Coturnix japonica: one gene and its partners. The protein of the gene in region 3 interacts with the protein of the main gene of each other region in a biochemical or structural test. Links are inferred from orthologs where the notes say so. Each region holds a gene or a part of one and is shown on either strand. Other genes may lie near its edges. The genes, in order: SYNRG, CLINT1 and AP1G1.

Region 1 (2,857 bases), on a different chromosome or scaffold from region 3:
CACTGGGGCCCATTGACTTGTGAATGCCCTGAACTATCCTGAAGTGTTCTCTGACCTCTTCCACCAAGGAGGCAACATTTTCCTCTTTATAATTTCAATTTCAGCAAATAATTTTGGGTCAGTGTCGGTTACTCACGATGGAGGCAAGGCAAAGCTGGAAAAGCTATTGATATCCTTGGAGAAAAGGGTCTTTTGACTTAAGTCAAAGAACTAAGCAACAAGTTGTACCTGATGGATACACACCATGCTGCATTCTCTGCAAACTGAGCAGAACTGTACAGAGGTAAAGCTCTTAATGCCATAGAGCTTCCACTGGGCTTAAAATTCCATAAGTAGCCGCTGGTGGTACTGTCATTTGCATGTTGTATTGGAAGAAAGAGTCAGGTACTTCAGATGTCTGGGTAACACTTTGCAATAGTCTGCAATAGACTTTGTCCTGTTTAGGTAGGTCCCCCTCCTGAAAGCAACAGAACAGCAGATTGACAACAGGCTGCTTCAGCAGACAGCCTGCTTGAGGAGCCAGCTTCCAGAGTGAGATCACACCTGTCCCCAGCAGGAGCTGAGGCCCACCTGTGCTGCCACTTCTGGGAGTCAGGAAAATGCATTATTACAGACAGCACTAGAGTGCACATGTTACATGCAGGCATCTCATCAAGGAAAGCATGTTAACATACAAAAAGGTAATATATACAGGAACAGACACGTGGCAACAGTGGAGTCCAATTTTCAACAGAGATGCAGCCACACAACCACCAAAGCACTGGGCAAAACGAACCCAACCTGTAGTTTAGGACAAGTCCAAGAAAGGACATGACCTAGTGTTTGCAGCAGAACAGCACAGATTGCAAGTTCTCAAACCCAGCTGTCTGCACTAAAGAACCTGGATATAAAGGGGAAATCTTAAACAATTTTTCCAAGTTCTTATCTTCCAGTACTAACCACTTATGTGTTTAAATATGGCATAATTTACAATTCAGAGTGGTAAAAGCATGAATATAGAATGTCTCTCTACCATCTACTTCCTCCTTTATCAGTAATTCCTTTTGCCTTGAAAGTAACCACAACTTGTGCACTATGTGCATGTAATAGAAGAGCAGCAAATATTTAAAGAAAAACATCATGGTCCAGACACCAAAAACATTAAGAAAAGATTTGTTTGCAAGTATGAACTTGGAGTACTTAAGCAGTCATTTCTATGCAAATCAATCTAACATTCCAGTTCACCTTGGAAACTAAGGATGTCCTCTCTGAGGTCTGCCTTTGGTTAGCAGACGGCTTGTTTGTTTGACAAAGGCCAGCTCGCATCCATCTTGGTAAAGATTGAAATGCCACATTTTCTGCCACTTGACAAATTTTCCCAGATATTTCTGAAACTCCAGCCATTTCCAGGAGAATTCTTCATGCTGAATTTCTGTGTGACAGTGGCTTGAACTTGTGATTGTACAAAAGCCAAAACGAAGCATTTCAAACAAAGAAGCATTTCCACTCACTCGATCACACAATTTACCCAAGCGCTGCATGTTATCATTTCACCTGATCCTCCACCTTTGGCTCAACCGCTTTCAGAGCAGGTCTGGCAAAATGAGACCAGGAGGCTTTGGCTCCACACAGTTGATCCAGAAGTTTGCGCAGCTCGCATGGTACTGGTGCCCTCCATACGCCAGCTTAAAATTATCCGTTTCCGAATTAAAGGCCTAGAGTAACAAGAATTGAAACAAGTGTGACCGTCTCACCTCTTCCACGCTCCAGAAACTAGAGTGGAAAATGGACATAACGCAGACGATCACCCCAGAATGGTAAATCATGGTAGAGCCTGGACCCTCTTTCTCCAAAGTGGAATAAACAATCTTCACTTGCAGAAGCACAGCAGCCAAACTAATGCTTTCTTCTGACTGCAAAATGTCTGCAGGTGGGCAAAACATACTGCCCTGTATGCATACTCCTGATGCACACTTGTCTGTTACACCACGTATCAGTAGTGTCCCATCTGACACTTGCAACTCACTGCGTTCCATACACCTTCCAGAACAAAGCTAGTTCTGCCACGCTGCCTCCACTGGGTCAGACCCTGCTGTGACTGAGGCTGGTGCTAATGTTATCCTACCGTACTCCAGGCTGAGTTTGGTCCACTTTCTTCTGGTAACTGAATCTGCTTTATGACTGGAGTGCATGAAGCCACAAACAAGCTTAAAATATCTCCACGTATGTTGCTAGGAGATACTGCTTAAATGTGAGGGGGAACTGAATTTTTATTTTTAAATAAATCTAGACTGTTTGTGAAATAATGTTGACTTTTTTTTTTTTCCCAGTTCTGAAAGAGAACACTTAGCAGCTGTTCCTACTTCAGCAGAGTTTCCAGTGCTTTACAACTACCTACTTAAAAAATATTCTAAACATGTTTCTCAGATTCTGGATTTCCTGCACAGACTTCTAAAAATGCCACTGCCTGCTGCATATAGACAAAAGTCAGTTTTTGTAGCAGAAACCCCTACAGCTCCCCCCTCTTCTGCAACAGACAAGCAGGCAGCTATGAACTCAGAAACTCACTGCAGGGACTTTTCTACCACACAACAGAAGGAGCACAAAACCAGAAAGCTATTCACGAGGTACGAGCATGCAGACGAGACAAAAGGGAGGCTGTAGAGCATGTTAGTTGATCGGATCAAGTATTAACAGTGACAAAAAAAAAATGACTGGAAGAAAAGGGTTCATGATTGGTACAATTGAGAATGACAGCTGAAGGCCAGCTAGCAGTTCAGCCTTTCACACTCAACTAAGAATGATTCTATAAAGAATGGGTTTTTTTACACGTTCATACTTTTTTGGGAAGCTCTTCCACAGGTTTCTCTTCTTTCTG
Region 2 (3,752 bases), on a different chromosome or scaffold from region 3:
TGCAGGATCAGCAGTTATTTATGAATCACAGAATGACCCGGGTTAGAAGGGAGCTCAAGGATCATGCAGCTCCAACCTCCCTGCCTGGCAGGTTGCCCATGGCCCCATCCAATCTGGCCTTGAACACCTCCAGGGACGGAGCATCCACAACATCCCTGGGCAGCTTGTTCCAGGACCTCACCACTCTCCTAGTAAAGAAAGGCAGATAACATCCCTTAATCTCCTCCATAAAGAATTTTGTAAGTTGTGGCCTTAAGACCGAAGACATTACGGCAAATCTGAACCACACACAATGAGGCTATTGATTCTGATGTCTCTAAATACGGTTCACTCTTCAGGCACTGCACTTTACCCCCCTCTTTTTCTAAATTAATAATTTTCTTTATTTGGACAGAGTAATTCCCTGAAACAGAGGTTTACTCAACAAACATTTTGATAATTTGAAATATTCATTTCTTGCACTTAATTTGGAAACCCAGTGCATTTTCCAGCAAAGACTGTGATGCACTGTTAGGCTCAACAGCTTACAAAAATACTCTTGAAAGTAAGCATTTTTAATATAGCAACGGTGTTACAATGCTACTACTACACAAACTGAGGTATGTACGCAAAAGTCAATGCTGCCTGAAGTTTTTCAGTCCTGGAACTTAAGATGGGTATCTATGGGTTATTCCATATAACAGAAGACAGTTAAGAACTGTTCAGATCACAGAATCTCAGAATGACCCAAGTTGGAAGGGACCTCAAGGATCATGTAGTTCCAACCCCCCTGCCTGGCAGGGCCACCAAACATACACCTTTACTAGATCAGGTTGCCCAGGGCCCTGTCCAACCTGGTCTTGAACACCTCCAAGGACGGGGCATCCACAACCTCCCTGGGCTCCCAGATGTTTTTTAAAGCCCCAAAAGGAACCTTGATTTTGAAAGATATGCTGTCTGACCTGTAAGCCCAGACACAGATATTAGAACACACAGACTCATCCAGTGTGTAATCACCTCCAAAACTTCAGCAAACTGCTCCTGTAAGAAGTTAACAGCTCATGGAAAAGCACTCCTAGTTCCCCCCTAAAGACATATTATTTAAGGAGGCAAAATGTGATCTTCATTATGTTCTACCACCACACGGCTTTTTCCTTCCCCGTGGAAAAGAAGCGTGACTGCAAAACACAGCGATAACGTCACAGCAACATCACGAGGGCAATAACTACAAGGAAGTAAACCTGCAAATATCTGAATTACTAAAAAAAGTGTAAGGGTGGGGATGGTGCATTTCATTCCTCCAGGAGGAGGAATGAAAGGCCCAGGGGTGGTGGTGAGTCAATGGTAACTGCAGCAGGGCTCGGGCCTCAGCAAGGAGGAAAAGGACTGAGTGAACGTGGCAGCTTTGGCAGCACTCCGGTGGTTCCCTGCCATACAGGTGGTTCCTCACACCCCTTCCTCCTCCTGCAGTGACACGTCCCCAGCAGGCAGCACACTGACATTGAGGGCTCACAGATAGAAAGAGGCACGGAAGCCCCGAGACCTCAGTAGATAAGGGGGGGCATCCAAAGGGGACACACAGCTCGTCGGGAGCTTGAAAGGCCCTAAAGAGCCCAGCAGGGCCTGGAAGGCAGCCTGCCATAATGGGAAGGCCACACGCTGCTTAGAAGCTGCCGCTGCCCAGCAATGGGGCCAGGAGGCAGCCAGGGGGCAGCCAGGGGGCACCTGGCCCACATAGGGAGCGGGGAAAGAGAACAGTGAGGGCAGGGGTCGGCCGGGCACGGAATGGGAGAGAGGCAGCCAGCTCAGCAGGGGGAGGAGGGACAGCGGCCATGTTGAGAGGGGAGGCTGAGGGGGAGGAAGGGGAGAGAAGAGCAGGCTCGACTGAGGGGACGCCACCAAACCACACCAGCCCCCCCGCCCCATCCGCCCGGCCCCTGCTCTACTCACGCCTTGTCCACCAGCTCCCTCACTTTCCACATGTTAAGCATGGCGCCGATAGTCCGGAGACCTCCTCGGTCTCACCGCGTTCTGCCGTCGGCCCCAGGAGGCTCCTCACACCGAGCCGCCGAGCCAGGCCCGCTCCGGGCAGCCGCCGCCTCTGCCAAGCGAGGGACGCGCCGCCGTTCCCGGAAATGGACGGTCCCCGGAGCGCGCTGCCTGCTGGGAGATGTAGTCTATCCGCCTGCCGAGCGGCTCCGCAAAGCCTGCTGGGAGTCTGGGTGCGGAGAGACGTCTCAGCGCGCAAGGGATGGCGGGAGTTGTAGTGCGTGGCTCTTCCCACACGGGAGCATGGCGGCGGCGCTTCACCTCGCGTTACCTCACGCCATCTCCCTTCCTTTAGACAGGGCCGAAGGAAACGCAGCGATACAGGGCGGTGGAAACGAGCTTTTGTTCTCTCTTTGAGCAGCCACAGCCCTCACACCACCCTCACAGCTCCAAACCTGTGGGTAACTCTCACCTGGCTGCCAAGTGAAGCACAAACGTAGGGAAGGTCTGTACGAATTGCTGTTAAACCTCAAAACACAGGTGGAAAAGTTGTGTCTGACTGGATGTAAAAGCTCATTACACAATGGCATTCTGCCTTACAGACTGTTTCTTTACCGGTCAGTGCATTGCCTGAGTTATAGCTGAACTTGCTGGGTTCAAGGCCTGCAAGAGGACCAGAAACTGGCAGAAAACAAGGGACAATCTTGTATGTTAAAACTTCCTTATCCATATTAACTAATTTAACATAGGTTTCACCTGGAGCAGAGTTTTCACCAAGCATTGAAGACCATCTTTAAATACTGCCTTTGTGGGAGCAGTGAACAGCCATTGCAGCTCGTTGGATGAAAGAAGTGAATCACACAGAATCACAGAATTACCTGGGTTGGAAGGGACCTCAAGGATCATGTAGTTCCAACCCCCCTGCCTGGCAGGGCCACCAAACATACACATTTACTAGATCAGGTTGCCCAGGGCCCTGTCCAACCTGGTCTTGAACACCTCCAAGGACGGGGCATCCACAACCTCCCTGGGCAGCCTGTTCCAGGGCCTAACCACTCTCCTAGTGAAGAAAAGTGAAGTCAGTTAAGTGACATTATGACCAGGATTCCGAGATGATTTCTTTACACACACTTGCACGCTCTATCAATTTGTTTTCATTGTGAGTTTTGAATGAACACATATGAGGGAGGACTTTCTTCTCAAGAGAAGTGGAAATTTGTTGGCTATTTCTGTTGGCGAGTCACAGGACAAAGCAGAGTGCCTGGGTATCATGGTTAGTCTGTAATTTATTCTTGATATCCTTCATATCTATTTATTTGTGTGTTTTGTCTAACTGCAGTATTTATTTGTAAATTTTATCTAAGAGCAGCATATAATCATAAACATTTGCCTTCTGGTTTAACTGCTTAAAGTGACCCGAAAAAGCATGAGAAAGATGGATTCTAGCTTGTAGGTCAAGTAATAGTTGCATCTTTTGATAGTTGGTAGCTCTTTGAATTGATCAAGAAAGCTGAACAGCTGATCACCAGCTCATATTCTGACATCCCTCTGACTTTTTACACAGGTACTTTCACACCTTCTGTCTTCTGAACATCTCAGTGAATACTGTGGGAAATCTAATTGAGCAAAAGAACATCTTGAATGAATTATCCAATGTAGCATCCTCTCACTAACAGTAAGTACTATGTGTTTATATGAATAATGCAAGAACTGGTGAATGTGAATGGATTAGTCCTGAAATATATCTTTCTCATTTTCAGTTTTCTGTGATTTGGTGGCTTGAT
Region 3 (3,652 bases):
TCTGGTAGTATATTTTTAAAAGTACATTTTACTTCCATTTTGATGATATGGAAAACAAAGGCTGAATGACCTGCCCAAAGAACCCAGCAATGGAGTAGCAAAATCAACAGTAAGTCTGCTGTCTTGAAGAAACAATCCACTGTTGACCTTCCATTACCTCATATACACCAGTTAAGTGAGATCAGAGCACAGAAGAGAAAGATAACACATATGGACAAGAATCATCAGTTTAAAAAAAAAACAAACACTTGGAAATCCAGAGAAAAACCTCAAGAATACGTCATGCTTGATATACACTGGATTTTTTTCTTTTTTTTTTGCACTTCAGTGGGTACATCTACCCAGGGAGAGAATCACTGCTCTCTTAAGATGTCAAAAACAATTTTGATGTTTATGATCTGTAACTAGTTAAATTTTAGATACAGATACAGTCAGATATACTTAAGTTTTTATGCTGTCCTGTAATTCTGTAACTTCTGTACAAACTTCAGAAATTTTAGTAAACTCACATGCACTGTAGCCACTACAAACATCCCTTGCGTCACGTAGAAATATATCAACTCTGTTCTAAAGTATAAAGGAAATTCCTTAGATAACACATCTAGCTGCCAACTTACACTCAGATGACTTCAGTTAAGCTGCTAACCAATTTTTAACCTTAAAATGTTCTTAGTTCAAAAATATAGCCACTAACATTACTACACACTGAAATATCTCACTCTTAACAGGTAATTAATCACATACTCATACTCACCAGACTGCAGTTTAACTACTGCTCTGCAAGACACATCTGCAGCAAGGAGCAGACAGCCTGGGTAAAGCAGACTAAGTTTCATAACAAAATACATAAGAACAGGTTCCAAGTAGAAAGTGCCTTTATCATAGTCAAAACTAACTAACACAGATTCAGAGGGTGTATGAGGACAGACCTCAAAACACCAAAAAGCAAAACTAGTCTTGCTCCAAACTAGCCCATGCACTCAAAACACACAAAGCATACTGGTACACACATAGCATAGCAGCTATGAAGACTAACCTACCTGTCCAAAATGTGCAGGGTATCCCAGCATGTGCATATACAGCAGCTTTGCCACATTTCTGCATCTGTATGTGTTATCTTCCTCTCGGAAGGATGACCGAATAGCAGCACATTCCTTTTGAATCATTTCACGTTCTTCTGCCTGGGTTCTTGCTGTCCGGATGGTCCGGATCAGCTCCCGCAGTCTGATGGGGGCTGGCATCCTCTGGGAGAAGAAAGAAAGAAAGAGATCTATAAGCCTTCTACTGTATCTGACAACTTCATTATGGTCTCAGTTTAGCATATTCTTCTTTCTTCCCTTACAACTACATAAATGTAAGAATTAAAAAAAGGCAGCCAGCTCCAAGCAGCATGGTTAAAAACAAACCTAAAGGCCACAGGAATCTACTGTACCTTCGAGGAACAGAAATTTTCACAATTGCCTTTCGAGAAACAGAAATTGCTAAGCTTTGAACTAGCTATAAAGTGAACATTACATGATTCCCAGTCTGGAATAGGTAAGAACACTACTCAGCAAGGCATGTTCATATTTTCTGGCTCTTTCTGACCAAACAGCCCCTCACATTCCAACTGCCCAATAATTTGCACAGGATACTTCAGAATGAGAAACTTCAGACTGAACTATTAAAAAAAAAAAAAAAAAAGAAAAGGAAAACACAGTTTTAAATGTCTTGTAAAATTTAGGTAACTATGCAAGAGTTACTGCAAAGTAAGCTAGAGCTCCTGTTTAGCATGTGCTTTTTTGTTGGCAGCTGTTGTCTGGACGTGCTGCTTTACTCTGTAGTAATTTAGCAAAAAGCAATAAACATAAGTGCACAATGGCACTGCAGGCTGGTAACACACTGACAGTCACAGCCCGCTATGCAGCCCCACAGCCTGTCTGTGGGCACGTATCTTTGGAGGTGAATGTAAAAAATTACAGGATGAGTTTTGTCTATTTCAGAAGTTATTCTGGAATCAGGTAAGATGATGCCACCTCTCTAAATTCATAACATCTGTTGAGGTTTAGCTTTCTATTCGATGTGCTGTGTTGGTAGAGGTCTTTGAGGCTCCTATAAAAGTTCCTCTTAATTAAAGTTGGTCCCTCACTTCAACTCAGATCGCTCTTTGACATGAAGAACACCATCTAACAGTTCTTCAGTGTCCTACATGGGCACAGACGGGAAGAAGATCAGAAACACAATGGCCCTACCAGGTCTGACCACAGCAGCAGGATCCCATGGAAGGCTGGAAGAGCCAGGTCAGCATGCAAACAAACACTTCTGTTCTATTGCAGTCTGCAACAATTTGCAGCATAAGAACTTCTAAAGCGAAAAGAAATAATGCCCAGTAAAATAAAAATAATAAACAAATGACTCTGTTTTTATTTTGAATCCAGGTGAACTTCCAGAATCAACAATATTCTGCAAGTCACAGCTGGAGTTCCAAGCACAACACAGGGAAGGTGGTTCATTTGTTTGTTCTGCAGTTTCAAGTCCTTGTTGCAGCTGATGCCCCAAATAGTTCAATGGAGATGATAACAAATTACCTAGTTAGTAATACTGAGGAACTCCTAGTTTTACACACTTCCATGGCTACTCCTCCCCCACCTTTTCAATCCGAGACCTGCAGACCCACATCTGAACCAATCCATGACTGGTTATGCTTATTGCCTTGTCTGCATGGTCCGCAGTTCTCCTGCATCCTTTCCGAAACAGGGGAGGAAAGCATGGCACCCAGCATTTAAAACATCGCTGTGCCACATTACTTACCAAGAGTCCCTTCTCTTGTTTCCCCAGCCTCTCCCTGTGTGTGGTTGCTACAAAGTGTTCTTTTTATGTAACAGTCTGACAAACCCCAAAACATCCCGCTTAAAGCCCAGAATTTTAAGTCCAGTCCCCATTCCATAGCCCCTCCCCTTCAAACACACTGTCAAACTGCTTTTGACACTGGAAAACGGGGAAGAAACTGAAATAAAATTAAAACACCACTGCAGGCTGTTACAATCGGAAAGATTAATGCAGTGGAAGGGCAATACAGGAGTGTAACAACAAAGGGACCAGCACAGACAGGATGGCATTCCAACGGGAAAATAAAGGAGCTCACCCATCTCCAAAGACCCAGGCCCACAGGAAAGACTCCACTAGGAGGAATCTCCAACCAGAGATCCTTCCCCAGTGGCAGTCAGCCCTCAGTGCCTGGATAGGGAGCAAGGAGACATGGCTTAGTACTTTTCTGTAGGTATGGTAAAGGGAGGATGGTTGGACGAGATGATCTTCTACGTCCTTTCCAACCTTGTGATTCTATGATTCTAGGATTCAATGAGTTCCAGGCGAGGTGCAGCCAGGCTCCGCCGCTCCTGGTTGCACAACTCAATTCCGTCACCTGAGCTCCCAGGGCTGGGTTGTCCTTCCCCAGGTGCTCAGAGGTTCAGGCCGTCACTCAACAGTTACCAGGCACAGGCACACACCTCTGCAGCCCACAGGCAGTAACTTCATCATCATTAATAACAATGTCTTTATTAATAATCACTTATGTGTACGCTCACTCTGAAAGAGGAGATTGATCCCACTCCTTTCATTGGTCTATGAACAGCATCTCCAGGACCCATCATGACAGATGAAGCCATCTGTA

Evidence for each region.
Region 1: the proteins of AP1G1 (region 3) and SYNRG form a complex in vitro, tested with the Homo sapiens proteins (2 studies listed by BioGRID). The link is inferred for Coturnix japonica from reciprocal best matches to the Homo sapiens genes AP1G1 and SYNRG.
Region 2: the proteins of AP1G1 (region 3) and CLINT1 form a complex in vitro, tested with the Homo sapiens proteins (2 studies listed by BioGRID). The link is inferred for Coturnix japonica from reciprocal best matches to the Homo sapiens genes AP1G1 and CLINT1.

The regions. Positions count from the first base shown.
Region 1 is NC_029534.1:7,340,126-7,342,982, forward strand, and holds part of SYNRG (synergin gamma), read right to left. Parts: intron 2,855-2,857; coding exon 2,819-2,854; intron 1,695-2,818; coding exon 1,563-1,694; 3' UTR 1-1,562. UniProt on the Homo sapiens protein: Plays a role in endocytosis and/or membrane trafficking at the trans-Golgi network (TGN). May act by linking the adapter protein complex AP-1 to other proteins. Component of clathrin-coated vesicles.
Region 2 is NC_029528.1:12,966,793-12,970,544, reverse strand, and holds the start of CLINT1 (clathrin interactor 1), read right to left. Parts: upstream 2,158-3,752; 5' UTR 1,971-2,157; coding exon 1,930-1,970; intron 1-1,929. UniProt on the Homo sapiens protein: Binds to membranes enriched in phosphatidylinositol 4,5-bisphosphate (PtdIns(4,5)P2). May have a role in transport via clathrin-coated vesicles from the trans-Golgi network to endosomes. Stimulates clathrin assembly.
Region 3 is NC_029526.1:17,664,237-17,667,888, reverse strand, and holds part of AP1G1 (AP-1 complex subunit gamma-1), read right to left. Parts: intron 2,344-3,652; exon of another isoform or gene 2,232-2,343; intron 1,245-2,231; 5' UTR 1,242-1,244; coding exon 1,041-1,241; intron 1-1,040. UniProt on the Homo sapiens protein: Subunit of clathrin-associated adaptor protein complex 1 that plays a role in protein sorting in the late-Golgi/trans-Golgi network (TGN) and/or endosomes.